Linked DNA regions of Mus musculus. The protein of the gene in region 2 interacts with the protein of the main gene of each other region in a pairwise test. Links are inferred from orthologs where the notes say so. Each region holds a gene or a part of one and is shown on either strand. Other genes may lie near its edges.

Region 1 (4,181 bases), on a different chromosome or scaffold from region 2:
AAGAAAACTGCACAAGTGGAGATACCCCAGCAGTGCAGAAGCCCTACCCTTATCAAGTACAGATAAGCTTAGAGAAGACACAGAAGAAAATACCCCATCCAGAAAGGAGACAAGGTTGACACCCACATTGGTCCAGTAGGGAGTTTGTCTTCCATTTATTCTCCACTTGCCAGGTGCTTTGTCTCCTTAATAGTCCCTTTCCTAGTACCTCAGTAAAGAGGTGTGCAAGCTCTTTTCTTTCCTTTGGCTTTGCTTTGGGTAGCTTGTGTAACATGGGCTTCAAGCATCAATGTTATCTGGAATGTTTTATTTTATGGTCTGGTGATTAAAGCCTGGCCCTTGCACATGCTAGGCAAATTCACTGTTATTGAGCTATACCTCCAGTCCCCCTTTTACTCTATATTTTGAGATGGAGTCTCAATTGTCCAGGCTAGTTTTTAACACATCCTAGCCTAAGCAGGCTTTCAGCTTTCCATACTGACTGCCCTTTTTCTCTCACAAAATTGTTATTATAGACCCTGACCACCAGGGACAGTTTAATTACACTTGAAGAAACTACAGTGGCTCCTGGTGGCCTCAGAGAATACAAAAGAAACCCAATTAACAAGTGATGGCTTTTGACTATGGGCACCAAATTGGACTGCTGATTCCCTCTGAGTATAGCAGCAATTGGCTTACAGGATACTTCAAAGGACACCAGCCTAGATTCCCAGCTCTGCCTCCAGTGAGCTGTGACTTTGGGAGGTCACCTCAAGTCTTTGGACCATATTTCCTAATCCATAAAATTAATCTGGGGATCTTTGTAGCTCTTGGATACTGAGATAAAATCTACGTTGAAGTTCCTGAGACAAGTACAGGAAATAAAAAGGAGGAAGTGAATCCGCCTGGGTTTTTCCTTCTTTCACTCTACAGGACAATCACTGCTAACGTTGATCTGCACGGTGATGGTTTTGTCTCATACTGAGTGTAATCACTCGAGGTTCAACACAAAGTGCAGCTCAACTAACTTGTTTTTCTTCTCCTGTGGCATTTTTTTTTTTGAAAAAGACAAATAACAAGCAACAAGTCCATACCTGTTGCTCACTCTAAAAATTTGAAAGAGTACAAAATTCAGTTAGGTTCCCAGGATACCTGTAGATCTGGTCTGACTTTCACACTTTCCATTTTTCTACATAATTGTGTTTTTAATTAGTATAGAGCCTAATACAGCTATCTTCATAGAATTATCGTGGTATGTATAGTACATATATCCCTAAAGTTAAGAATTTAGATTAAGTTCTATCTATTCTTTAAACAGCTAGCTCTGTGGACAGGCTTCGGATTGTTCGATTTTTTTTTTCTCATTAATTTACTTGATGATTTTGAAAATAAAATAAATTGCAAGTGGTGAGAGCAGCTGGAAGTTCTGTAAATGCTCTCGAGATTGAAGTATTTCACAGATATAACTAGACAAGTCCATTTGTGCCCAATCTTCACCTAAGTATTTCTTCCACTTATTTATTAAATTAAAAATTATAAATACATTGTTTCGTTCCACAAACAAGAGAAGCTTGTCAGGGAACTGAGCAAGATGTAGCTGGTTATCCCTGCTTCTCTAGGGCCATAGTGAAGAGAAACACTATTGAGAAAATCTGCAAACAGTGAGTGACTCCACCTAGGGCCCATGAACCCCCCAGGGCAGGAGTGGCTGCGGATGGTTTACTTTTGTTGAGGAAAGTTCTTGCTAGGCTGATTTTAGATTGAGCCTTGACCCAGAACCATAGGGAGGGGACGAGCCCGCTGCTCTCTGTACCACGTGAGGGCGCCCGCGGGAGGGTGTCCCCGCGCGGGGAGCTCTCTAATAGAGTTCTGCGTGGGCTGAAACAGGTTTCAGGACTCTGTCTGGAAGGTCACCTCCGGGCCAGGAGAGACCACATGGCACTGCCCAGTGATTGGACCTCCGCTGATTTGTGGGTACTGTTGCAGGCACCCAGCACCTGCTTCGTGGCCCCGACCCTCGCAGGTTGCTTCCGCAGCTGCACCTGCCCCGGCCAGTGTAAGCACTCACCACGCGTGCATGCACACCGCCCGGGCACCATGACTTCCCTGAAAGACTCCAAGTTGCCTCCGATTCTCCTCCCACTGGAGACTCTTAGTATAATGATCACAAGCCCTCTATTCTTAGGGCCGCCACTCGCCCGGCCCCGGCTGCCGATACTGGACACCCTACACGAGACATCGGACACCCACAGCTGTGGCGGTCGGTTCCTCTGGGCACCCGAGCTCGCCCTGCGCGCGGTGGAGGAGGGACCAGAGGGACAGGTGAACAGCCTGACCGCGGGAACCAGGGTCTCCTCCTGTCCCTGTCCTCTGTGCTTTACCCTTCGCTCTAGAGACTCACCTGCTGGTTCCCACTCCTCGCTCACCCTTCTGCCTGGCTCCATGCTCCAGCGTTTTACCCGACCCGGTCACCTACCTGCTCAGTACCCGGAGCAAGGTGACCCAAGCACCTGCCACCTCCAGATTGCCTACAGCAACTGTCCGGGAAGAGAAGGGAGGACAAGCAGAGACCCAGCCTCCCAGAGACCCAGCCGCGCGGGCTGTCTGGACAAACACTCGGGACCAGAAGGACACTCAGCGTCCAGATCGCAGCCCTGGCCCGCCCCGCCGCGCCCACATGCTGGGGTGACTGACTGGGCGCTCCCTCAAGGCCCCACCCGGGTGCTGGAGGCGCTCCAGGGCCAGTAGGCAAGCTTGGCTGCCTTGGTCCAGTGACAGCAAGGCCACTAGTCCTTGGTTAATCTAGAGCGCTGTCTACAGTCTGGGGTAGTTTGCCTTACCACCTCAGTGGGGGTCTGTGGGACTTATTAATTACAATAGTCCGGCCCCTTCCACATTTGACTTGTAGGTGGAGCCTGCGGAGGCAGGCAAGGCCCATTTGGGAACCTGGGTCCTGCAGGCCAAGTTGGCTGTAGTTCTGCCCCTGCATTCTACAGCTTACTTTTTCCTTCTCTTTTGTTGACATTAAGTAAATTATCAAACTCTGAAGCATTTGTGACTCCAGGTGTGGCTTTACCGAGCATGATCAAGGAAGAGAAAGACTGGAATGCTGCAGGCTGAAGGCACTAGGGACAGGGGCAGCCAGGGAGAGAAACATGAAAGGGGGAAAAAGGTGGAAGTCCCCTGTGACTAACAGATCAGGGCCCGGATGGCACAGAGCACCAATGAAGCCTAAGCATACGTGGGAGGGAGGAAAGCTGAGCCGAGTGGAAAGGTGGACCAGCCTTTTCCACGGGTGAGGAACGTTAGGGATGTGGGGAGAAAACAGGGCTGAGAGGTGCGGAGGGATGACACAGGACCTCAGACTGTGGAGGTTAGAGAGAAGTCTTATAAACAAGAAACACGGTGTGACTTTATACACCCTGTCCAATCGATTTAGGAGCCTGGCATGCTGGACCCAAACATTGTTTATCTTAGGCTTTCACAACCGCAGAAAACCCTTGAGTTGGAAAACCTTACAGCCAGGAGTTACACCCTACACTCTCAGGAAACACGACTCAGCCATTTGGGAATTGTGCTTGAGATCCACTCAGGCAAGGACTCCCGGCCCGAAGCTTACTCTCCACTGTACTGAACTGGGTGGCCAGATGAGGTGCCTTAGAATGCTCTGTCCTCCTCTGCCTACTGGTGGTATCTGCTCAGCACGTGTCCTCACACTCTCTGGAAACTAAGGAGCTGTACAAGCTGGCTATCAGCCAGCTCAGGGGCCCATGGGACACTGATGCTATCACTAGGTACCCTCCTCCAGACTCATTCTGTCTCCAAGTCCTGACAAGCCTTTCTTGATGACAGCTCTCCCCCTTACATTTAGCCTTACAGTTTGCCATTCACGATATCAGCAGTGCCTGGCTGATTCAATTCTTGTGAGGCTCAAGTGAGATAATGCATGCAAAGTGCTCAGAGCATGGCTGGCCCTAATATGTTTGGATACTTACTGCATGCCAGAGACTATTGAATAGATAGAGGCTCTTGCACAAAGTGTTCAGAACCATTTCTGGCACGCAATATTCAAATGCATTTGCTCCTATTACTCCACATCAGATACTGTAAATTCGTGTTCCTACTTTATACCAAGGCTATGAATTTTTGTGTCTCACCTTACCTGGATTGAGGCTATGAGCAATTATCCTGGTCAAAGCATG
Region 2 (4,072 bases):
TAGTTGGCAGTACTGCCAGACCTGGAATCAGGAGATGGCCCCAGGGATGAAACAGAGTCGAGATCTGTGCTAGTATATCTATGGTGACTTGGCTTCAGCTCCTCACTGCTGGGTTGGTTACGGACTCTAGAAGAGTCCGTGTGTTCTTGGCTACTCCCTTCTGATCTGTAGAAAGAGAACACTCTTCTAAGAGCACAAACCAAAAAGGACATGAAAGCCTACCTCAAGAATGTACTGAAGTTTGTCCTAGGGAAGGAACTAGCCGGTGCCTTTCTACCGAACAGGAAGGTCAGGCCTGCAGCAGAGATGTCAGTGTCTCATCCAAATGCTAGACTGTCCTGGACACTAATTGTGATTGAGACTAATTGGTAGTCACTTGACTAATGGTACTTTGAGTTGGTGGCGGAGGACAAGAGGACTATGGGGCTGAGGGGTGGGGGAATGTGCATAGGACAGAATTGGCTGCCTGGGGCTGGGTGGGGCTCCTGGTGACTGGGATCAGATAGCTAGAAAAAACAGAGCAGTTACGTAACTGTGTTTACATGGGCTCAGGTGGCTGTGGCAACCATGGCAGTCCTTGACCCAAGGCCATGCTGGAGGGGTGCAGGCAGCCGACTACTAGGGAAGGAGGTCCCTCTTGAGCAGAAGGGTGTGCAGGAGACAGAGCATGGCATACTGACCAGGGCTGCACTATCTGGGACAATGTTACCTGGCTCTAATGTGCCACTGGAAGCTACTCAGGGTGAGGCAGGCAGGCAGCAGCCAGCTACAGCTAGGGGGAGGGGTCAGGAAACCAGACACCTGGCTCTCTAAGTCCAGTCTCTGAATTCTTGCTACATTTTTCTCCCTAATCTTCTTAAAAGAGGAAGAATTCTCCCTAAATCTGGGCAGAAAAGAGGGCAGGAGATTATTTAAGTTTCCTTGGACTTACCTGCCCTGCGGTCCTAGCGCCTCGTGCCTCCGTGTTTTGTAAAGCCATCCGAATACTTGTGAACACAGTGAGCTCCAACCTGAGAGGTGGCGAGCCAGCCCCGGCCTGACTGACAAAGCAGAGCTGCAGCAGTTCAGCCCTCCATTGCCACCCTCCCCGTTCCTCCCAACCTACATCCTCCAAGACTGTTTACTAGACTCCCCATCCCCATAGAGATGGGACTGGTAGCCAGTCCTCAGCTCCCTTGCCCACACTGTGCCTTCTCTTGTGAGAAACAGGAAGTTGGGACCTTCGGCAGCTCAGCGGCACCCTCTACATTAAATATTTATCTTGGAGTCCAGGTCAGAGCCTTAGAGCCTAAGAAGTTCACTGCTGGTGAAGGGGGATGGCCAGGATTCTTGGAGTGGGAAGATCTTCAGCTTCGTCTTTGAACAACAAAGAAGACAATGAAAGTGATGTAGCCCTTCTTAGTCCCAAGGACCCTAACAGGTGGGAAAACTTTAAAGAGGGACATGGGTAGTACTTTTAATCCCCTGGGGGAGGGGGAGGCTGCTTCCCTGGAATGGGTGGATAATCAAGTGGCAGAGAGGCTGTGTACAGCTGCCTGACCTCAAAGAGGGTCTCAGAGCTCCTCCACTCCTCCATCTCTCTCCCTTCAGCTTTCCTACCTCCGCCCCTCCCACAAACACCGTGTACTGTGTAATACCTACATCCGTTAAAAACACCTCACGTATGCGAATCAGAGCCCTGTTAGCAGGTTTACATCTCTGGAAGCCTATGAAACTGCTTCCTGAAGACTCCCCACTCATGGGAGCTCTGGCACGCTCATCTCTTGAGCTGTCCTTGACCTAAGTTTCCCGGGAGGTGGGGGTGGGTTTTGTTTGCGGGCACCACAAACAGTTCTTCCCCCACAACTGGGAAAATGTGAAGCTAATAAGAGGTGAGCGTGCTAGGGGCTGTGATGTCCTGGGAAACACTAACTCCAGGTGGCTCAGGCACCAATTAAAAGGCAGTAGGTGTCATTTACCATACTCAGCAGTGGACCAGAAACCGTTTTTTTTACCGGTTGATTTGTTGGGGACTTGGGTTCGCAGTGAATCCTAGGCTAGGAGTACTCCAGGGTTTCCATTGTCAGTAAACATTTGCCCTGGCACCTACCAGCAGAAGACTGGACGAGGAGGGGAGGAGGGAGGGCCAGAGAGAATGGGGAGCCAGTGGGCGGTGTCCTTCAGATCTGCGTCAGCAGTCAGCACTGTAGGAACAGCGGAAAAGCAGGATCAAAACAAATACGGTGAATGGGAACACCAAGACCCTCTTAACCTCATCCCCGCCCAAAGGGCCCCACCCTTATCCTCTTCAATGCTGTGGCACGTCCAGGGAGCCGGTCGATTCCCTCCCCCAAACTTTGCACGTGTGTGTGAGCATCCTCACGTTTGCCAGTACACGAGTGTTTGCAAACGCCTGGTCAGTGCGCTTAGGTCTAACAAGCATGAACTCTCTCTCCCCAAGCGGGTGTTGCCTTGTTCCTGGGCCACCGTGACTTATCTCGGTCCCAGCCTGTCTGCCTCCGGGCCTGTCTCCTGCCTCTCCAAGGCCGAGGGCTGCGTATCTAATTCCGGCCCCACCCGGGCTCTGGCACTCAGGGACCATTCGGTTAATCACTCCTGCCCTGTGTCCTGGCTCTTGTGGAGCAGCTCGCTTCCCACACCCTGGAAATGTCGCTGGAAACTCTGAGTGGCCCCCGCCAGCCCTCCCGCCCCTTTCTGACTCCAGCTTTGCGGTGGGGGCCGGGGAAGGCATCTGGGAAACCCAGCGGGCTCCCGGGGGACCCTCGGTGGCCCCTCCCGGCACCGCCTCCTGGACAGCCCGGCCCCTTGGGCAAGGGGCCACAGTGTTCCCGTGGCGCGTCGCCGGACAGAGGGCACTCGCGGGAGTGAGTGAGGGAGTAGCAGGCATCTCCACTTTACTCCAGCATAGCCCCGGCTCACAGTTCAAATCCAAGTCCCAAACTCCTCCTGCCGCATTCATCTCAGGGTCCTGCCTCCTAGCGCGCCCCCTCGGCCGCTCTCTTCCTTGTTGGGCGCCGAGCCTGGCCCAGCGTCCTGACCAGTCACGAGGGCCGTGACCACCCGCACTTTTCCCTGCCCTCTTTCCCCGAGGGCTCGCCGCGGCTGCTCCAGGCAGAAGCGGGCTGGGATGCTCCTGCCCTCCTGGGCAGCCCCAAGCCCCCCCACCTGCTCGCCGGGGGAAGGTAGGTTCAGCGATGCAAAGGGGCGGGAAGGAGGCAAGACATAGCCTGGCGTGGACCGGAGCGAAGGCGTAGAGTCCCTCCCTCCGTGTCCTGGTCTCTGAGGTTGTACAAACCAGAAAAGGTGAATTTGAAACCCCCTGACCCTGTTAGTGGGGAGCTATAGTTTGATAAGACCTGGAAAGGCAGAGAACGACGTCCCCACCATCAAGGCCTCACTCAGATGGGAAGGAGTCCACCAAACCTGGACGTTCTTCATTCTTCTAGGGGTCTGCTGGAATGCAGGGGCTGCCTGGATTCTGGGAACTCACCAGAGGTGTCCGTTTTATGCTAGACAGATACCAATTCCCCAGGAGACCTCTGTCTTCCTTAGGTTCTGCCAAATGTCTCCAGGCAGCCTGCTGGGAGAAAAACCAGGACCACCATGGGGGGCCCTATCCTAACCTCGAGTATTCCCAGGAGCTCAGTGGGAGGGGAGCCGATGGAGGTATCCTAGGGTCAGTAGCTCCTGAAACAAGGTGGTGATGGAGAACTGGTCCTTTTTCCCTAGAGAGGACACTTCTGGATTTGCTGGGAGGGTGGGACACAGTGACATTAGGGAAGGAAGGCCTGTCAGCTGATGGGTGCAACTGCTGATGCCGAAGGCAGTTTGGCCTCAAGCCCTCAGCCGGGCAGGGAGGGGTAGCACACAGCCGGTGTGCCCAGGCTTCCTGGGTCATCAGTCTGCCTGGCTTCACTTTCCCCTGGAGGAAGTCCGAGAGTCGGCAGGCAGCAGCGGTGAGGGCTGCGGGAACGGGTGGCGGGAACGGGTGTGTGTTTGTATGGTTAGCTTTTTGGTAAGAGCTTTAATTGAATCCAGCTGGTGGGCTGCACCTCAGCCTCCCCTCCCCACA
Region 3 (3,984 bases), on a different chromosome or scaffold from region 2:
TAATATACCCATCTTACACCAAGGTGCAGCTACATAAGTCTTGTGGTTTTGGTTGTGAGCCTAGCCTTCATCTCTCACTGACCGTGGCAATCCTCTTCCTACTTGTAATCCTTTCCCCTCAGTTCTTCCGAGTTCCTTTTTCTGTTTTAACTGCCACCTTCTCTGTCCACTCTGTCCACGGTAATCCCTCAGCTTTTTCCCCACCTTGTAACAGGTATCAGTGTTTTGGTTTTTATGTTTTCATACGTTTTTTTGGTTGTTTTTTTTCTGAGACAGGGTTTCTCTGTATAGCCCTGGCTTTCCTGGAACTCACTCTGTAGACCAGTCTGGCCTCGAACTCAGAAATCTGCCTGCCTCTGCCTCCCGAGTTCTGGGATTAAAGGCGTGCGCCACCACCGTTTTCATGTTTTTAACCTTTACAAAGACTAGGTGAAGCATGTTCATTTCTGGTACCTAAATGGTCTTTTGTAGATATTAGATATTGACATAGTTGTGGAATAAGAATACATGAATTAACTCCTCCATTGATAAAATACAGAAAAATAAAAAAATCTTTGTTTTGCAAAGAGGGAGGACCTAATTTAGCAGCATAATCTGATTCAACTTAATCTGGTTAAATTTGTAGGAAAAAAAAAAGCGGTGGCGTCGCATTCCTTTAATCGAGGCCAGCCTGGTCTTCAAAGTGAGTTCCAGGACAGCCAGGGCTATACAGAGAAACCCTGCCTCCAAAAAACCAAACCAAACCAAACCAAACCAAAAAACAAAGTGAGCTGGGCAGTACCTCTTCAGGAGGCAGAAGCAGGAGGATCTCTAGTTCAAAGTCAGCCTGGACTACAGAGTGAGTTCCAGGACAGCCAGGACTCGAAAAGCCATCCCTCCCCACAAAACACCAATTGGTGAATGGATACATTCTCAGAAACAAAGACCCTCTACACACAAATATGTTTGGATCAGCTGTTCTCCGTCAGCTTTGTCAGTAGGTAAACCGTAACTGCAGACAATGCAGAATGCTGATAAATGAGGGACAGGTTTTCTCTGTAACGCCCACTGTCCTGAGTCTCCCTAACAGATGACTAGACTACGGTTCCCAGCCGCCCTGTGAAAGCCCGCCCCTCGGGTCATGACGCCACTTTCAGGGCGGGGCTGTCTTACGGCCCCGCCCCGCGCCCCCGCCGCCGCCCTCCCCCAGGGTTGTGGCCACGCGCAGCGGCAGCGGTTGTTCCGCTTCCCCTCCGGCCCGGGCCGTCGCCATTGCCGAAGGCTCCTGCCCTCCCCTCCCTGGCCCAAGGGGTTCTGCGCCTCACGGCCTCGGTAGCGACGGCCGCGCCCCGCGCCGCTCCCCTCCGCCCTGCCCTCCTCCCTCTCAGCGCCCCAGCGCAGTGCTCGCCCGCGTCGGCCAAGCAGCCCGCCCTGGGTCGGGCGGAGACCTTTCCTCTCTGGTAAGTGCGGTTGCCGCTCGCCCGGGCCGGGCCGGGCCGGGCCGAGCCGCCGCCCTCCTCCCGCCTCCGCGGCCTGGGCCCAGCGGCCCGGGACGCCAGCACCTGCGGGCGGGCCCGCGGCTCCGGGCGGTGGCTCATTGTCTGCGCCCTGGCTCTAAGCTTCGGCCGAGAGGAAGCTTGCTGGGCTGTGGGGACCCTGGCCACTCCGGCCGTCCTTGCCCTTCTCTCCCGCCGGCGCTGCACCGGACGACTCGGGTTTGTTCCTGGATGTTCCCTCCTTTACCAGCTGCGTTCTCTGCAGTCTCGTCGCTCGGGAATCCTGTCGCGAGCTCCTTAAGTTCAGTGTGTAAACTCTTCCTCCTCCTCCACATTAGGAAAAAGTTTTTGCCGGGCTCTGGGAGCCTGCGTTTAAGAACAGAAGTTAAGGATCTTACGGTTTTTGCTTGATCTTTAGCCAGGAGGTGAATATTTGCTTCTTAAGGTTAACTTGGGCTGAGGTTGGCTTTTCACCATGTTTGGCTGTCTGAAACACGCGCGCCCTCACAAGAAAAAAAAAAAGTTGCTGCAAATAACTTAATGGACTCAGCCTTTTGATTAGTTCTAGATCAAGTCGTCCAAGACAGAAGTGTGTTAAATAATTGCCATTGTGGCTTGATGGGAAGGAGGCTCTCTCCATCCCCTGTCTTAATAGAACTAGGTAGAGTGGAAGTGAGATTTGTTTCCTCTTTGACAAATCACCAACTCCCATCGATAGCCGCCAGGTTCTTCTTTACAAGTGACCTGTAGATTTTCCAGCTTTTCGTTTCTAACCTTTTAAAAAAAGACAACCAAACCGGTTAGGCCCAAAATTAGACAACGACGAGCTGAGCTGTGTTTTGGGTGAAGGTTGTGCACGTCACGTTTTTCCCCTGCTGTATTCGACTCTTCCGCTCTTATAAAGTAGGCAGGATATTGAAATAAATACACAAGAATTTGCTCTGGGGATTTTTTTTTTTTTTTTTTTGGTAGAGCTATCCAAAAGAATAGTATGAATAAAATTAGGTTGGGATGAAGGCAGTGAGTAGTAATTTTTAAAACAGGTTAGGGCACGTCAACTTTGCCAGAAGCTCTGTGGCATTTGTAGAACATTCTTGCTTGTCTCTACCCCAGTTCTTCAGTTGGGGTGTGTGTGTGTGTGTGTGAAGGAAGCCTTTTTCGTATACTTTTATACCCATCCTCTGCCTTTCCTAGACAGGGCCTCATTCCAGCTCAGGCTGTTGTGACACTCTTCCTGTCTCAGCCTTGTGTGCTGGGATTACACGTGTTAGCCAACATATTTGGTAGCCTCTCTTTTTAGGTCTTTCTAGAGATTAATTAGCCAGGAACACTATTGTACATTTACATCAGGGAAACTGAATTTTATATTGTTGCTTAGATAGATAGAAAATGTAACTTTTGGGTTTTGGTAAAAGAGGTTGCCCAAAATTAAAAATGTTTTCTTCTTGTTTTCACTAGTACATTATTACCTTTCCCTCTGCCAGGCTATGGGGGAAATGGATTAGTATCAAGTACTGCCATCCTTTGGTACTGTGGGTTGTTCTTAGGTTAGTGAGTTGTCTTGACACTAGGGAGGAATGTCAGGGAATGAAAAAGTACCTTGAAGTTAGTTTCTGCTGTTTCTTTCTCCTTTTTAACCCCTTGTACCGGATTGAACCGCAGACCTCCCTGTGATGCTAGGCAAGTGTTCTTTGCAGCACTGAGTTACAAGCCCAGCCCTCTCTTCTCTGTGCAGACAGTCTCACTGTTTCCCAGGCTGGTATTGAATCTCTTCCCTACCAGGTAAGCCTTGAACTGGGGTTTTCTTCTCAACCTCCCTAGTAGCTGGGATTGCAAGCCTGTGCCTGCAGAATATCTCATTTGTTTCCAAAAGCAGGTATTTGTTTGTTTTTCTTTGGAGACAGCCTCTTTCTATGATACCCAGGTTTGTTTCAAACTTCTGGACTTAAGATCTGCGTCAGAATCCTAGCCAGTGAGATTACCATTGTGTTGGGCAAGCAGACATGTTTTTAAAAAGAGAATTCTTGGGTATTTCACTTATCTTGGGGCCTTGATTCCAGATTTACCTTTTGAGAGAAAGAGATTAATTCTTCTGGGCTTTGTGATCCGTGTCCTGAAACCTAAATTCATGAAGTGATAGTTTTTAGTTGATATATGTCTGATAAAAGGTTCTCGTGTTTCTTTGATTTTTATGATAGGCAAGTTTCCAACTAGACATGATGAAGGCTAGTTTTACGTGTTTTAAATGAGGAAATTTAAAACTTGTTCTGGTTAGCTAAAGATAAACTCTGAGTTATACTTTTACAAAATGCAGGAGCTTGAAATAATTGCCAAGTATAAAACTAGTAGCTATGGCTGAATCCTTACTATCTTCATCAGTATTGGTTATTACAGTAATAATGTTCCGTACTCGGTGCTTTCAGTTTTCTGGCTTTGGTTCAAATTGGACTGTGTTCCAGTCTTGAGACTAGGTCAGGCCTTTCTCTCCTCAAGCACTGCTAGTTACAGA
Region 4 (3,500 bases), on a different chromosome or scaffold from region 2:
TTATCAGACAAATTTGTGGGCCAGGAAGTAACCTAGTGCCTAGGCTTGGCAAAGAAAGAGACAGGGTGTTCCTACCTTCATGTTCAACAGCAGGGGTCCTTGCTGCTACGTGGAAGGCTCCACCTCTTGTTTCTGTTTGGAAATGAGCTGCGCTTCCTTTAGGGACAGGTACACCTCTTCCTGAGGATCATAGTAGTAGAACTTTCGAATGTAAGAGATCAGAGGTCTGTGGAAAAACAAGGAGACAGAGAGGGTACCATTTACAGGGACATTTCTCAGAAACTATGACTGCTGTTTCCTTTAAGAATACATCTCTTGCTGAGCCCTCCTCCCTTCTCCATTTCTTCATATTGTATGACACACACATCTTGCTCCCTTTGCTGCAATGTCACAGCTCTAGAGTTAAGTGCTAAGAATCGAAAGAACACTGCCTACAAACGCTTTACGTCAGGCTTGGCCTCCAGGAGCAGCTTGCAAGCGTCAAAGGCACTTCCACTTCTAGTTCACTCCCTCCCCACCCCAAACCCTGACAACCCCATTGTACTTAGGCAGTGGCAGATCCGGAATATGGTCTATTCGGACAAGCTGCCGGATCCGGAATCTGCAAAGATGCTGGAGGGACTTGACATTGCTGAATCTGGACACTGGATAGAGCAGCTGTACTGGAGTTGGTGGCAGTCCTTCAAGAATAAAACCAAAGGAAGATACTCAGAATAACGAAGCTAACTACAGCTCCCAGAAGAAGTGCTGTGGGGAAGATGTCACAGGGCTATTTTAGAGTTCATGTATATACTCTGTGTTAAAGCCCCTTACAAAGGGCTGTTGAGAGCCATCTGTGAGAGCACCATTACCATTCAAGGGAATTTCCTGTCCTCTGATTACCTCCCCAGCAACATTTTGGTTTATTGACAGGCTAGCCTCAACCTAAAGCAATCCTCCTGTCTTAGCCTCCTGAGTACTGGGACCATAGATGTAAGTCCCAATACTTGGGTTCCAGAATCACTCTCCTTCTTCTTCTTCTTCTTCTTCTCCTTCTTCTTCTTCTTCTTTTTTTTTTTTTTTTCAAAACAGGGTTTCTCTGTGTAGTCCTGGCTGTCCTGGAACTCACTTTGTAGACCAGACTGGCCTCGGACTCAGAAATCCACCTGCCTCTGCCTCCCAAGTGCTGGGATTAAAGGCGTGCGCCACCACTGCTGGGCCCAGAATCACTCTTAATTGTGGAAAATAGCCCAATGAACAAGACCACGATAGAGCCTGCTTGGAGCCAAGGGACCAAGTCCAAGCGTGAGGTTCTCAGGGAAGGACAACCCAGAGCCTCCCTGTTGGGAACGGGGATACTTGTGCAGCACTATTTAGCAGTATCTTAAAGATCAGAGCTCAGGATATTCAGAGGTACAGTGGTTTGAATAGCCTTTATGGCCAGAAAGGGTCACATGTTGAGAGGCCAGTCCTTTCTGTGGAGGTTTTGGTACAGAATATTTCAGCTCAAAGGCCCCACAGCATTCCAACTAGTGAGCAGGAAGGGGGCAGGTGGAGCTGGTATCCAGGCTGCCACTCCTGCAACTGTCTACTCAGGCCAGGCCAGGCCAGGCCAGCTTGGTACTTTTCTTCCCTCGCTATTCTCCCTCTCCTACTGGAGCTTAGGCTGGGTTACAGGAACAACACCAATGCTTCTGAAAGACAGCTACTGCAGCTGCACAAGCTGGGCCTCATGCAACAGTGCTCAGGTGCCTGTCCTGTGTACCTGCCAGGCTCCAAGCAAACACTCCTACATGGGTCAGAGCTCCTGTGCTGGGGAAGCCCAACCCCCACAGTCAATGCCACAGAACCCAGCCACCAAGGACAAGGACATCAGGGACTAAAACATTCAAATGAACTAACAATGTTCTGGTTTCCATAGCAATGGGACTATGAAGATTAAGAGAAGCAAACTAAAGATTGAGAAGTGGACTGGAGAGATGGCTCAGAGGTTAAGAGCGCTGACTGCTCTTCCAGAGGTCCTGAGTTCAATTTTCAGCAACCACAAGGTGGCTCACAACCATCTGTAATGAGATCTAATACCCTCTTCTGGAGTGTCTGAAGACAGTGATAGTACACTCACATTTGGTTTTTCAAGATAGGATTTTTCTGTGTAGTCCTGGCTGCCCTGGAACCTGTTCTGTAGACCAGGCTCTAGGCTGGCCTTGAACTCAGAGACCCACCTGCTTTTGCCTCCTGAGTGCAAGGACTAGAAGTGTGTGACACCACACCCAGCTAGGAATTATTTTCTTAGCCACTGTCATATCCAAAGAAATACTACAAACACAAATGGTTAGAAAATAAAATTCTACAATTACTGGGGTTTAATTTCAAACAGCTTTAAAATTTTTTGATTGAAGGCCTGAGGAAAAAAGGAAGTGAAGGCTGTAGATTGTCTCCAAAGCCATGTCATGGTTGCTGACGTGTTCCCTCATGAGGGTCCAGGGGGAACAAGGATTCTATCAGGAATTGCGCTAGAGGCCACTAATGTACGATTTTAGCCAAGAATGTGCCTTCATTCTGTTTACAGCTTGAGAACCTGAGACAGAGGAAAGCTAATGGACTAATTTGTTTGGCAAAGGAAATTTCAAAACCAGAGAGTGCTCAGGCTAATCCTGAGAAAGCAGTTGTAATTGTTAGAGACCAGCACCACTGAAGGGAGAGTGCCTATCTTCACTAACACAACAGGAAGGCGTCCCGAAGGAAAGCTCTGCCCTTAGAGGTCCATCTTGTGTGTGAAGACCTAGATTCATTTTAACAGAGAATCCAGGCTCTCAAACCCCCGGAACCCTGGAAAGCCGGAAGTGTTTGATTCTATAGGAACTCACAGTTAAGACCTTGGACTTGGCCTGGCAGTGGTGGTACACGCCTTTAATCCCAGCACTTGGGAGGCAGAGGCAGGTTAATTTCTGAGTTCGAGGCTAGCCTGGTCTATAAAGTGAGTTCCAGGACAGCCAGAGCTACACAGAGAAACCCTGTCTCGATAAACCAAAAAAAAAAAAAAAAAAAAAATAGACCTTGGACTTTTTTAAAAAACTGGTGATGGGTCGGCAAGGTGGCTCAGTGGGTAAAGACACTGAATTCAAGCCCGGCAGCCTGAATTCAATCTCCAGAGCCCATATGGTAGATAGAGGAAAGACCCAACTCCAGTAAGCTGTCCTCTGATGGTTCATGAGCACTAGGCACACAAATGTATATACATATACACAAATAAATAAACACAATTTTTTTAATTAAAAAGAAGATGAAATTGGCTGGGCAGTGGCACCCGCCTTTAAGCCCAGCACTCACAGAGGCAGTGGATGTCTCTGAGTTCAAGGCCAGTCTGGTCTACAGAGTGAGCTTCAGGACAGCCAGGGATACACAGAGAAACTCTGTCTTGGAAAAACAAAAAAGATGAAATTGTTAAAGACAATGGGGATCGTTAAAGTCAGTTGGAATATATAATATACATTATTAACATGGTCATGAGCCTCTAAGGG
Region 5 (4,172 bases), on a different chromosome or scaffold from region 2:
TATAGAGACCACACAGACCTTTCGGAAGCCATGTGCTTCGAAGCGAGATGGCTGGATTCTGGAGGTGTTCTGCTCCTACCCTCTGCAGCCCCAGCCTGTCTCGCAGGGCTAGGGGAGGGCAGAAGAGGGGAAGGCAGGAGCACCTAGGAAGTCTCAGCAGGTACAGATCCTTTCTCCTGACAGGAGTGCAATTACTAGAGAGTGCTTTTTCCGTCTTCTGTTCAAGCGTCAGAGCCCAGTGAGGTCAGCTCCAGGTAGGGGTGCATTACTTCTTTACACTTGGTCTGAGTAGAACGAACCTTCCTACCCTGGCCTCTCTGCCCCTCGAATGGCCCAGAGGTACCAGCATCTGATTCCAGGACTCGTCTCTTAAGCGCCCCCCCACCCCCCGGCAAAAAAAATTCCAGAAGGAATGTTGGATGCAGTCATGCGAATCAAGTGCAGTAATATTCCCAGGAACAATGGGATGACAGCTGTTCCCAAGTGCCTCCCGCACCAGTCACAGCGCTGACACACAAGCTCCTTGTCATCTAAACGGATCCTCACAACTACCTTTAAGGAAGCACACAATTACCTGGAAAGAGAGGGGGACAGAGAGTGCACGCACACCTCACTATTATACAGATAAACTGAGGCTCCATTTTGACCCTCTTCTTCACGTGGTCCCCTGAGGGTTTTTAATTCTTACGGCACTGGGGGAGGGCTTGAAAGGCAATCACAGACCCTCATGAAGAGCTCTCCACGTGTAAGAATACCTGCCCCGTTTCCTGGCCCTAGCCTTCCTACTGGCTCTGCAAATGGGCTGGTATTGCCGTCGGCCCTCGTTTCACAGATGGAAAAACACCCAGAGCCAAAGGGTGTGTGTGTGTGTGTGTGTGTGTGTGTGTGTGTGTGTGTGTGTGAAGGCATGAAGGCAGGAAGGCAGGAAGCAACAGAGAACTCAAGCATCCATAGCCTTTGTCCCTGGTTTTTCCATGCAGAAATGCATCTGATGAACTCTCCCATTCCAGGGGCTCATTATCATCTGAGGACAGCCCCAGAGTTCACTGGGCCCCCTGCCAAGGTGGCAATAAACTCTCGCTTTAGTGTTTGTGTCTGGTCAGTTTCCAGGAGGCCCAGGAGACGGTCCTACTTTACAGAAACTGGAAATACACAGTTGAGACCACCATCCCACTTCCGGTCACAAAAAGGTGTTCAAGGCCAGGTAAGTCTCTCACAACTCCCATATTGGGACTGTTCACAGGCCACTAGAAATGACAACCCAACCCAAAATGCCTCCCTTCCTGTGGGAGAAGGGCTCTCATCCAATGCAAAAGGCAGCATTCTTGACCTCACAAGGGGAGTTGCAGCCACTTGACCAGAAGTCAGCAAGCAAAGAGCTAGGAGTCAGTAGGCACCTCTGGCCCTGACTGCAATCCTGAAGCATCAGGGACCTTAAATTGTTTCTCCTGGACAGCAGCTTTCCTGACAAGAAGGAAGGATGACCAGGCCCTCCCACTTTGACGAGCCCACGTCAAATCCCTTCTGAGCCCATGGTGAGGGAGCTATATTCTGGAAGAGTTTAGCTCTGCCTGGAAGAAGGCAAAGGGAGGGGATCTCCCCAGGCTGGAAAGCAGGACCCTAACCCTGGACTAGGGAATTCTCAGCAGGAAGCCTGCCTAGCAACAATGCCTCCAAACAAAGATGCGGTAGACACCTCCAGGGGCAGTATAATACTCCTTTCTATCTCTGAGAGGGGCAGTATAATACCCCTTCCCATCTCTGCGTGACAGTTCCACACCCCTACATGATGGTGGTCTGTGGTCAGACAAAACAAAGGGCATCTGGGCTAATTCTCAAAGGCCTTTCCCCTTTCCCCTTCCCCCAGAATTCTTATAGGGCAGGAAGAATCAGAGTACAAGGAGGACCCTTTGAATGGCCACCCAGCTCCGGACTGCTATTGCACCTGTGACCTTGGGCACTCCCAGCCTCCTTTTGAGGTAGCCCCTTATCCAAAGACTAGTCAGCTGTACCAAAGACAGGATTCGGGAAGGGAGGGGAAGAGAAGGAAAAAGGAACATTAGTCTCCTTTATTTTTCCCAGGAGCACCATTGTGGGGATGGGGAAAAAAAGAAGGGCTTCTCGCTTCCTCCTCCACCCCTTGAAACACACAGGTGCCAGACAGCTTTTGCGCAAAAACTAGTTTGCAAACACACTCCGACTTCTGGAACGCCGCCCGGCACTATTCCCCATCTCTTCTCCCCAGTTGGAGCAGGGAGTCGGCCCTAGAGCTGATCCCGAGTAGCGCCAGGTCCTGGTCAGGGTGGGATCAAAGGGCGCGCTCGCCTCCAAACAATTGTGCTGGCGGCTGCGATCGCTAGCCCACAGCCGCCCTCTAGACATCTAACGGTGGAAGAGGGTCTCCTAAATAGCTAGCCAGTGTCCCCGAAGCCGCCCATCCTCCAGCCGCCCCCCGCAGACGGGCGCCCCCGCGTGGCCGGGTGGGAGCTGAGCCCCCCCCCCCCAGGCGTGCTGCGGGGGGCGGCGGCCAGGGACATCGGAGTCCCTTCGGCTGAACCCACTCCCCCTCCAAGCCCCAGGCCGAACTTGAGCGCACACAGTGCCCGGCCCGCCCTCGCCGCGGACCCCACTCACCGCGCTTTCCGCAGCCTCAGCGTGCTCCGGGCCGCCGGGGCATCCCCGGGCGCTGTGCTGTCGGCCGGGCGGCGGCGCGGGACAGGCTCAGGGCGCTACCCGCGCGGCCGTACCCACTCGTGCGCTCGCCCGGGCTGGGGCTGGCCCTCCTCGGGCCCCGGCTGCGGCGCGGGCTCCTCCCTCCAGTCGAGGGAGGATGTGGGCGGGAAGCGGGCGCGAGGCGGGCGCTTCCTGGAGGGGCGGCTCTCCGGGCTAAGCCGGAGCCTGTCCCGCTCCCGGCTGGTGGCCCGCGAGGACCTGGATGCAGCAGGCTGCCACTCCGAGCGATGCCGCGAATTCGCACCCAGCGCCGGGCCCGCCGCTCTGGGCGTCAGGCACCGCCGAGCTCCCCGCGTTGCGCTCCAGTTCAAGATGCGGGGACCCGGGGGTGCGATCTCCTGGTCCGCTAGACCCCCGGGGCGCCGCCCGCGGCTCTCACCCTAAAGCGCGCAGGGCTCAGCACGGAATCCTCGGGGAGACGCCCAGGACTTGCCTCCGAGCTGCGCACAAGAACCGCAGTGTTTTCTTTTTTCCTTTTTTATTTTATTATTATATATTTTTTAATTTCTTTCAATAGCGTTTTCTTGCCGCCTGAGACTGGGAAGATGACACATATTCCCGTGACAAAGACGATGAGATAAAGACGTTCGGAGTGGGGTTTGGGATCAACGGGAGAGTTGAGGCCTCCCCTCTGTGCAGCCAGCTTTTGAACCAGAGGCACCAGTTCTTAAGGGACTGTTTTGTCGCTGGGCAGCTGGTGGTCGCTCAGTGGTATTTTGTACCCTCGGAGCAAGTAAACCACTGGACATTACCACACGGAAGCTCTTTTAACCAGATTCTGTTGTGGGAGGTGTAGGGGGAGACATGGCTGTCCAGAGGTCTTAATAAGCATGGCCAAAGCCCTGGGCCCTGGTGTACAAGTCTCGGGATTGTGGGGCTGAGCGGTAAAGCCTTGCACTGAGGTTGTAGGTTTTCTATTCCAGACAGATAAGAGTTAATGCGGGAGACTCACGCTGCAGCTCTGAGCTCCCTCCACCTCTGAGTCACAGGCACTTTGCAGCCTTAGAAGGGCCCCCACTAAGCAGCCCTAGGGCACAGAGCTTTGTTCTCTCTGCCTGCCTGTCCCCGGAGCTTTCTGCTTTTCTCCAGATTCTCCTCGTCTTCTTGCGCAGAAAGTCCTCCATGCCCTCTGCTCAGCTCTGGGACAAAGCAACCTGTGGCGCCACTTAGAGCAGAGGTAGAAAATGGGGACCGCAACGTCTTCTTCCAGACTGTGAAGCAATGGCAGGTAGAAAAGTAGATGGATGAGAAGTTCAGGATGAAAGGCAATTAGCACAGAGACCCAACTCAGCTGTGGGACTTGACCAGCACTTTTCTAAGAACCCAGAAGAATATGGCGATTGGGGGGGGGTGGGTACGGAGGGGAGGGGAGGGAAAAGATGTCACTAGGTCTTGGTCAGGAGGGCAGAGTACTAAGGTCAGGGGTCACAGCAATTCCA
Region 6 (4,134 bases), on a different chromosome or scaffold from region 2:
CAGGCCTGGGTCTTGTCAGGCTTGTGGCTAGGAGAACAGAGATGCTGTTTCAGTGACATTAGCTCAGATGACTTTCTACATTCTTCTTTTTTAAAGTTTTATTATACATAAGTACGCACCAGAAGAGAGCGTCAGATCTCATTACAGTGGTTGTGAACCACCATGTGGTTGCTGGGATTTGAACTCGGGATCTTCTGAAGAGCTGTCAGTGCTCTTACCCACTGAGCCATCTCGCCAGCCCGATTTTCTACATTCTTGTGTTTTCCTAGATAATCCATTTCCTAAGGACAAGGGCACATCCAGTGATGCTCAAACAGGTATGACTGGGTACCAAGACTCAGGGGGGCTGGCAGCCTGGGCACCTAGCCGCGAGAGGATGGATGAGAAGCCAGGTCCTATAGCCTCACCCTTGTCCTGCAGAATCCTGTGCTGCCCCCCACCATAACAGACCAGATTCGGCTGTGGGAGCTGGAAAGGGACAGACTCCGGTTCACTGAAGGTGAGTGGCTTCCGCTGACCTAATCTCAATCATTGGCTAAAGAGGTAAGGCCAGCAATTTCACGCAAAAGTTTTGTGCATTTCGTATTTGTTTCTCAAAAGGGAAGGAGAGGAAGACTGATCTTTTATTTTGGTATATTAGTAGCAGGAAATATGTCCCAAATCAGTGCAGTTTGAATTAAGCTAGGTGAGGGGATAAGAGGCAGGGTAATTCAGTCTTCTCTTTAGGTGGGTTTGCGTGGCTTTTCTTGTGGATTCTGCTGTCTTTTCGAGTGTCTGGATGCCACAGGTGTTAAAGTTGAACAGTCGACTATCCGTAGAGAATTAGTCCTAAGAACTGTGGCCTGCAGCCCCTGCCTGCATGCTGCTTGGAGGGGCAGAGACCACTGCAGCCCCTCACCTCCTGCCTGTCCCACCCGACCCCAGGCGTCCTGTATAACCAGTTCCTGTCGCAAGTGGACTTTGAACTGCTGCTGGCCCACGCGCGGGAGCTGGGCGTGCTTGTGTTCGAGAACTCGGCCAAGCGGCTGATGGTGGTGACGCCGGCAGGGCACAGCGACGTCAAGCGCTTCTGGAAGCGGCAGAAGCACAGCTCCTGAGCCGGCCAGGTCCAGCCCCGGGCGGGCAGCTTTCCAACTCAGATGTATTTTGTTTACACACCGGGATATTTCTTGTTTAATAAAATTATGGAAAAAAATCTACGCGGCTTCAGACGTCTGCCGGCGTTTCCCTACCCAACGCAGTGATACCCGCTTCTAGCCAGAAAGCCGGAGGAGCGAGAGTCTTTTACGCATGCGCCTGCGTGTCCCCGCCCACGCATGCGCGCGCACCTCGCCATGCACCTATCGGCTCTGAGTTCGCCGGGACGTTCGAGTTAGAGGCGCATGGCCGAGGTTGCGGGGGTGGGGGTGGTCCCAGGCTTCCGAACCCCAACCTTCGTGTCCGCGTCAGTGCCCGGTGACGGGCAGAGCTCCCGCCTTCTCTGGACGCCCTGGTTTCAGTGATTCCAGAGTGCTGTCCACACCGTGCGCTCCGCCCCTAGGCGGAAGGACGTAGAGTGAGAGAGGGTCCTGCGGATGGGAGTGAAGGGTTGCGACCTCCTGCATCCCATGGCCTCGTAGTGAGCAGACCTCCATCCCTTCCCAAACACTCCCGATGCCTCATTTGCCTCTGGCCTCTTTCCGGCCACCGCTCTGGGGGCTGAGGCCCTCATGGGGTCTTTCCAGGCCCCAGGCACTTTGTACACAGCCGGAGCCCCACGGCTCCCCTGTCTCTCGGAGGAACCGTGAAGCCAAACAGAAGCGCCTGCGCGAGAAACAGGCGGCCCTGGAGGCTGGGCTAGCTGAGAAGAGCAAGGTCAGGGGTCAGTCCTTGGGTCTCCCAAGACTTGGGAAGGGGCTGAAAGAGACTGGCGCAGGGATCCAGATGACTGTGGTGTATTGGGGATTGCAGCCTCCACCCCCACTCCGCAACACACACACACACCCTGTTTCCTCCCTGCAGATACCTGCAGTGCCCACTAAGGCCTGGAGTCACAAGGAGGTAGTATTGTATGAAATCCCCACCGGGCCAGGTGAAAAGAAAGGTAAAGTGTAGGGTGTGTTTTGCGATGTTGTTGCTCTTTGGTCTGCTAACATGCAGTTCAGTAGTGGATCTCTGTTCTGCTTCCACAGATGTTTCTGGGCCCCTGCCTCCTGCTTACAGTCCCCAGTATGTTGAAGCGGCCTGGTACCAGTGGTGGGTGCGAGAGGGCTTCTTCAAACCAGAGTATCAGGTCAGTGCGCGGCAGAGGGCTTCTATGAGGTCCTTAAGACAGAGTGAGTGGCCCTTGAACTTGGTGGGCACAGGCTAACTTCACAGTTGATGTTTATTTCTTTCGGCCCCTGGTTTTCTTTTTGCCTCCCCCGTGTTGGATTTCAATAATAATAATAATAATAATAATAATAATAATAAATTTGAGACACTGTTTCTCCACGTAGTCCTGGCCGTCCTGGAACTCTGTAGACGAGGCTGGCCTCAAACTCAGAGATCTGCCTTCCTCTGCCTTTTCACACGTGTGCCACTACACCTGGCCTTCTTGAAGTTCTTTTTGCCCCAAGGCACCAGAGGGTGCTGTTCCCCTAGGCAACAGCAACAACTAGTTCTCCCTCGCCTCTGACTTCCTCATTCCTTCCAGGCAAGGCTGCCCCAAGCTACAGGGGAGACCTTTTCCATGTGTATCCCACCTCCCAATGTCACCGGCTCCCTGCACATTGGCCATGCACTCACAGTGGCGATCCAGGACGCACTTGTGCGCTGGTGAGAGGCGGTGGGGCCACTGCAGTTCCCGAAGGGAAGGCTGGAAGTGAGGATCAGTGAGCTCAGAGTCCCCATGGTGTTTCTGTGGCAGGCACCGGATGCGTGGGGATCGCGTGCTGTGGATCCCCGGGTCTGATCACGCAGGAATTGCTACACAGGTGGGTCTTGTGCCCCCCTCTGCTTGGTTGAAAGTGCCGTCTTTATGTGAAGCCTGACTAGCTTTCATTTACACCTGATCCCATTTCAGGCCATGGTGGAGAAGCAGCTATGGAAGGAGCAGAGGGTGCGGAGACATGAGCTGAGCCGGGAAGACTTCCTCAGGGCCGTGTGGCAGTGGAAACATGAGTACGAGGGCAGGGCCAGTGGGATTGTCAGCACTACTTCTGACTTGTAGCATTTGGTTTTTCTGGCCTTGTGCTTCACTGTCTCGGAGCAGAGGGAATGATGTCTGAGCCAAGAGTGTGTGTGTGTGCGTGTGTGTCACAATGTGCACATTTGTCTGTATACTGTGCTCATGTTAGAATGCACACACGTGTGTACTATGCTTGTGTTGGGATGCACACTTGTGTGTCCTATGCTCATGTTAGGATGCACACATTTATGTGTATATGGATGGATATATACAAATGTGTGGTTTATTTAACCTCCTTGTCTTATTTTCCTTTGGACTTCATCACCTCTCCCATGCCCCTGGGCCTTCCTATGTCTGTGGTGGTCATGTGCTTCTCTCTCTCTTTCTCTCTCATTTTCTCTCTCTCTTTCTCTCTCTCTCACACACACACACATTTTTCACAAAGTGGCTGCTCCCGATAGGTGTGTACAGGCCTTGGCCCATGGGCCTCTTGCATCCCAGTGTAGCTGTGAATTGTAAACTTAAAACCTTTTGAGGACTTTTTGCTTTACTACATAATTCTCAAATGTAAACTTTGTACATGGCAATGACCTGTTACGGTGTTATGCAAAACGAATGCATGTATGTATGTGCATGTATGTGCCTCCAACCAGTGGGCTACAGCTTAGACACTACTGGTTGTAGCCTAAAATAGCCATCCATCCTGTGTGTCTCAGAGAAGCCAAAGGTTTAGATAACCCTGCAGAGACCTTTCTGTATCTTTTAAAGCCATAGGACGCCCCACCCCAGGTGTGTGGTTCTATCTCCATCAGCGGGGTCAGCTCTATGCGCACTTTATTTCCTCCGGTACCTGGCATTGGCGAGCACCTATGGTTAGTGCTGGGAGGTGCTCTGGTCATATTTACTGATAGAAATCTCTGGTGCAGGAAAGGAGGGGAGATCTATGAACAGCTGTGTGCTCTGGGTGCCTCTCTGGACTGGGATCG
Region 7 (4,171 bases), on a different chromosome or scaffold from region 2:
AAGATCACATAGATGGTTGTGAGCCACCATGTGGTTGCTGAGAATTGAACTCAACAGTCATAACCACTGAGCAATCTCTCTAGGACCACAAATTCTTGCTAAGTGCTGATTTCTTTCCCTTGCATTTCATCTTCCCACTTCCCCTTCATCCTTTCCTTCACTCATCTCCATGCAAACCACTTTTTTTCCCCCTAAAGTAAAACTAATTATTTCAAACTTTCCCTCATTGGAAGCAAATCTCAATGGGTTAACTCTTATATTCCCTTTAACTCTCTTGCCTTGGTAATTTTCAATTTTATTAAAGACATATACTAAGTTAAGTATAGTGCAAAACAATTTGTCCCTAGTAAAAAGTTGGATAAATATTTAAAACTGCTTTTTTTTAATCATTCTAAATTGAGTTTTTAGAATGTCAGACTAAATGATCTATTTTGTGGGGACAGAATGTTCTGTGGTGAGAAGTTTCAAGGCCAAATGGATTAGCCATTCAAAAGCCTGGCTTTCGGGCTCTCCACTGAAGCCAATATAAAAGCTCTCCTTGTTCTTAGCTGTCAGGCTTCCCCTCCCACATATTCTGGCATCACTGTGGGAGAGATGAAAGGAGTTCTCCATTTTACATCTCCTTCTCCCTGCTCCTAGCTCCTCGTTGTTTCATTTCAGCATTCTCAAATTTCATTCAGAATAGAAGTTCATTAGAGGAACTGTAGAGAGGTAGTGACTTGATTTGCTAGTCATACAAATGCCCCGCCCCTAGCAACATTACACTAGCATTCCATAATCCCCTTTAATCTACTTCTCCTCAAAATCAGACACCAAGATTATAAAGGGTTATAAAGATTATAAAGACACCAAGATTATAAAGGGTTATAAAGAATATAAAGACACCAAGATTATAAAGGGGAGTGGGTTGTGCAGTGCTGTAATAGGAAGCAAGACGGTTTAGCTGATGGTTCAGTCCTGCCAAGGAGCAAAATATAGGAACAGCAAAGGGGGGCTCATGAACTGTACATGATAAAATACAAACTTTGATTATAAACAACTTTTAGGTCGGGGAAGCAAAGATATAAATATAATAACGTTGAGCAGAGGATTACTGTTGCAGTCTTGGTCCCTAGACCCACCTCAGTTTGGCCATGGTCATACATCTTTACCCAAGGCATGCTCAGTGCTTTCTACTTCACAGTTATGACCATTTCAAACTCCATCTTGCCTGCTGAAACTGGATTTTAGCCAACTAAGGCATGTCAGGAGGGTTGATCTTACTGCTTCGGTCTTAGGAAAATTCTGCTTTGAGTTTGTGCCCATTATTTTCTCGTTTTTTTTTCTGGGCAATATTGTATTTCTTTCTCTCTCTCTTTTTGTTTGTTTGTTTGTTAGTTTTTTCCAGACAAGGTTTCTCTGTATACCCCTGGCTGTCCTCGAACTCAGAAATCCGCCTGCCTCTGCCTCCAGAGTGCTGGGATTAAAGGCATGCGCCACCACTGCCTGGCGCATATTGCATTTCTTATATTTCAAGTCCTTTACAAACATGAGGATGCACACTGCAGAAGGAATGTCAGAGACAGCAAATACTTCCAACTTCACAATTCTTAGAGGAAATCATTTGGCCTGGCAATAAGTTGCTCCCAATGAATTTTGTGGGATTAGGAACTTCTGTGCCTATACCTCAAAGTACTGTGTCACCTATCTTCAAAGTAATTCCCTCCCTTACTTTCCAGGTTATTTTCCACCACTGGAACCATTTTAAGCAATTAAGGAATCCTATTGCTCATGTGCTGTTCATCAGCAAATGCATCTATCCAGAGACCTCCCATTCGGTTTTATTAGAAGATTAAAATGAAAAAAAAATTCACTGCTGTTCATTGCTCTTTCTGCCTGCTCCTTGTTTTCTAGCAAGGTCAAAGAAATGCAGCACAAAGAATTCCAAAGAAGCCAATCTTGTTTTCTCATCGGGTCACCATCTTTATTCTTGGATCTCCTCATAGTCTCAATTTAAGCCACATGCGCATTAGTTTTAGTTCCCTTAACCAATAAGATACAAGCTTTGATTAAAAACAACTCTTGGTTTGCAGGAAACAAACACCAGTGTCTTTTAACTCACATTATGAAAAATACTCCTCCTGGAGTGTAATAGTAGTTTTGAATAAAACTACATTTTTTTTTAAATTACAAATTTCAAATAACAGAGAACTCACAGGTTGTAAATTTTATATCACAGATATTAAAAATAACTTCATCCCACCACAGACTGCATTCTAATAAATAGTTAATAGAAACTTACACTGAGCAACGTTTTTCTGAACTGCTGAGAATGAATGAGAAACAGTCTCAGGATGAGGATGTTGCTGTCAGTCCAAGCTTTAGAAATCCACCCTTAGCAGTTGAACAGCCCCTTCTCCAAGGCAGTTGAATCCCTTATGTACCCTGCCCACTGTTCGGAGGCCCAGCCACAAGCACAGCCAGGTCAGGAGATGCTGAAAACACACTTACTTAAATCTCATCTTTAATCTAAGATTCAGAAGCAGTATCCTGCTCTACCCAGTTTGCTCGTTCAAGTTTGCCAAGAAGAAACATACCTTCTTACACTTGGGGGTCGTCCTGCAGCAGGTCAGGCTCTGTGTGGCCAGTCTAGCAATGGCAGAGGTGGGGCAGAGAGCTAGTTGTCTTAAAGAACAGTCTCAGTGGTTCTTTTATAAAACAAAATCCATTCATCTTCCACAGTGGTCCTGACAAACGCCTTTGCAAATTGAACTTCAAAGAGCTACTCTGCTCAGTGTCACAACAGCAGCTGGGCTACTATGACGTCAGGGACTTGGAGGCGGCCTTAAGGCTGCTGCTTCCAACCACAGCTCTGTAACTTTAGAGCAGTTATATCCTCTGGGTAAACAACTCCAGGTCCAGGACATTTTTAACTTTTATAATGGAGCCTAGCATTTTCAAACTTGCCAGGAGAGATCTGCTTGCTAGCAGCACATGATGACAATTTAGATTTCTTTTATTTGGAAAGTAGACTCTTTTTTTAGGAGCAAGAACCATCCTCTTCCTCCATCCCCTCTCTTTCCCTCTCTCTCTACAGTGAGATGCAGTTTCAGTGTCTTTGTTAGTCTGGCCAGGGATGAAGTGGAAATGTGTGAGAAAAAAAAAAAGAAATACACACACACACACACACACACACACACACACACACACACACACACACACACCAGCAAGCATGAGTCAAAATGTATGTTGAAACATATTGAATGTTTGCCTTTATGCAAAATAGAAATGGGGCATATATATATATAGAGAGAGAGGGAGAGAGAGAGAGAGAGAGAGAGAGAGAGAGAGAGAGAGAGAGAGAGAGAATAGTGGTTTACTTTAGTCAATAAAGTCTTTAGGGCCAATATAGCAAATCAGTTACACTGAATTTTAAGTAATAAGCTCTTATCGTCAAGCTAAAGTTTTCCGACTGTACAATATAACAATGTGTCATTTGAAGCATGCCATAATTTCATGTTTTTGGTTTTTGTTGGTTTTTTTTTTTTTTTTTTTTTTTGCCTACCTCCAAGCTCCATCCCATAAGGAGCTAAATTGCTTAATAATGGTAAACTGGTCAGGGCAACCATATATTTATCTAATTTAGTCAACTGACTAATTAATTAGCATATAACATTGCTTAGCAAAACAGGCTAGCCTAAAACTCAATATTGCCTCTCAAACTGGTCTCAATTTAGTACAATCCTGCTTCAGTCTTCCATGTCCTGGAATTAGGGTCTTGAGCCACCAACTCCAGCTTCTTTACTTCCATAGAAGGACGTTATACAGGCAGAATAACCGAAAGAAATGCTTCCCTATGTTTAGAGAGCTAGGATTCATATTTCCAGGGGCAGCCACAATCGTCATAGTTACAATAGCAACACTAGTTATTCACTGGGAGCAGCTTTAAGCAAAGCTCTGTGCTAAGGATGTCAAGTGGAGCTTCGTGTCAGTTTACCACCTTAGCAACTGTCTGCAGTTTTATTCACCGGATCTTACTTATATCCATGGCTTAGAGAGCTAAAACATCTTGACAAAGCCCACAGAAAGACCTCTGAGAGGAGGAGCAGGACTTGGAACCAGTTTGGGGACCCTGGAATATTGTTATAGGGACCGAGGGCTCAATACTTCTGCCCCCATTTAACTGTGTAAT

What was found.
Region 1: the proteins of Sorbs3 (region 2) and Sh2d4a interact in binary tests that used the Homo sapiens proteins (3 or more experiments, as listed by UniProt). The two-hybrid records come from large-scale screens. The link is inferred for Mus musculus from reciprocal best matches to the Homo sapiens genes SORBS3 and SH2D4A.
Region 3: the proteins of Sorbs3 (region 2) and Pak2 interact in binary tests that used the Homo sapiens proteins (3 or more experiments, as listed by UniProt). The two-hybrid records come from large-scale screens. The link is inferred for Mus musculus from reciprocal best matches to the Homo sapiens genes SORBS3 and PAK2.
Region 4: the proteins of Sorbs3 (region 2) and Socs7 interact in binary tests that used the Homo sapiens proteins (3 or more experiments, as listed by UniProt). The link is inferred for Mus musculus from reciprocal best matches to the Homo sapiens genes SORBS3 and SOCS7.
Region 5: the proteins of Sorbs3 (region 2) and Cpne2 interact in binary tests that used the Homo sapiens proteins (3 or more experiments, as listed by UniProt). The two-hybrid records come from large-scale screens. The link is inferred for Mus musculus from reciprocal best matches to the Homo sapiens genes SORBS3 and CPNE2.
Region 6: the proteins of Sorbs3 (region 2) and Vars2 interact in binary tests that used the Homo sapiens proteins (3 or more experiments, as listed by UniProt). The two-hybrid records come from large-scale screens. The link is inferred for Mus musculus from reciprocal best matches to the Homo sapiens genes SORBS3 and VARS2.
Region 7: the proteins of Sorbs3 (region 2) and 9330159F19Rik interact in binary tests that used the Homo sapiens proteins (3 or more experiments, as listed by UniProt). The two-hybrid records come from large-scale screens. The link is inferred for Mus musculus from reciprocal best matches to the Homo sapiens genes SORBS3 and KIAA0408.

The regions. Positions count from the first base shown.
Region 1 is NC_000074.6:68,275,147-68,279,327, reverse strand, and holds the start of Sh2d4a (SH2 domain-containing protein 4A), read right to left. Parts: upstream 2,801-4,181; 5' UTR 2,456-2,800; intron 2,443-2,455; exon of another isoform or gene 2,381-2,442; intron 1-2,380. UniProt on the Homo sapiens protein: Inhibits estrogen-induced cell proliferation by competing with PLCG for binding to ESR1, blocking the effect of estrogen on PLCG and repressing estrogen-induced proliferation. May play a role in T-cell development and function.
Region 2 is NC_000080.6:70,204,872-70,208,943, reverse strand, and holds the start of Sorbs3 (vinexin), read left to right. Parts: upstream 1-1,272; 5' UTR 1,273-1,316; coding exon 1,317-1,420; intron 1,421-2,089; exon of another isoform or gene 2,090-3,580; intron 3,581-3,623; exon of another isoform or gene 3,624-3,833; intron 3,834-3,888; exon of another isoform or gene 3,889-3,956; intron 3,957-4,072. UniProt on the Homo sapiens protein: Vinexin alpha isoform promotes up-regulation of actin stress fiber formation. Vinexin beta isoform plays a role in cell spreading and enhances the activation of JNK/SAPK in response to EGF stimulation by using its third SH3 domain.
Region 3 is NC_000082.6:32,076,543-32,080,526, reverse strand, and holds the start of Pak2 (serine/threonine-protein kinase PAK 2), read left to right. Parts: upstream 1-1,184; 5' UTR 1,185-1,439; intron 1,440-1,475; exon of another isoform or gene 1,476-1,694; intron 1,695-3,984. UniProt on the Homo sapiens protein: Serine/threonine protein kinase that plays a role in a variety of different signaling pathways including cytoskeleton regulation, cell motility, cell cycle progression, apoptosis or proliferation.
Region 4 is NC_000077.6:97,386,292-97,389,791, reverse strand, and holds part of Socs7 (suppressor of cytokine signaling 7), read right to left. Parts: intron 681-3,500; coding exon 545-680; intron 227-544; coding exon 106-226; 3' UTR 76-105; intron 1-75. UniProt on the Homo sapiens protein: Substrate-recognition component of a cullin-5-RING E3 ubiquitin-protein ligase complex (ECS complex, also named CRL5 complex), which mediates the ubiquitination and subsequent proteasomal degradation of target proteins, such as DAB1 and IRS1.
Region 5 is NC_000074.6:94,531,656-94,535,827, reverse strand, and holds the start of Cpne2 (copine-2), read right to left. Parts: upstream 2,801-4,172; 5' UTR 2,635-2,800; intron 1-2,634.
Region 6 is NC_000083.6:35,664,793-35,668,926, reverse strand, and holds the start of Vars2 (valine--tRNA ligase, mitochondrial precursor), read left to right. Parts: upstream 1-1,334; 5' UTR 1,335-1,653; coding exon 1,654-1,854; exon of another isoform or gene 1,855-1,861; intron 1,862-2,001; coding exon 2,002-2,083; intron 2,084-2,171; coding exon 2,172-2,272; intron 2,273-2,674; coding exon 2,675-2,796; intron 2,797-2,887; coding exon 2,888-2,954; intron 2,955-3,043; coding exon 3,044-3,141; intron 3,142-4,074; coding exon 4,075-4,134. Other genes in the region: Gtf2h4 (general transcription factor IIH subunit 4), read left to right, coding at 270-317, 421-499, 925-1,097. UniProt on the Homo sapiens protein: Catalyzes the attachment of valine to tRNA(Val) in a two-step reaction: valine is first activated by ATP to form Val-AMP and then transferred to the acceptor end of tRNA(Val).
Region 7 is NC_000076.6:29,210,272-29,214,442, reverse strand, and holds the start of 9330159F19Rik (uncharacterized protein KIAA0408 homolog), read right to left. Parts: upstream 2,801-4,171; 5' UTR 2,577-2,800; intron 1-2,576.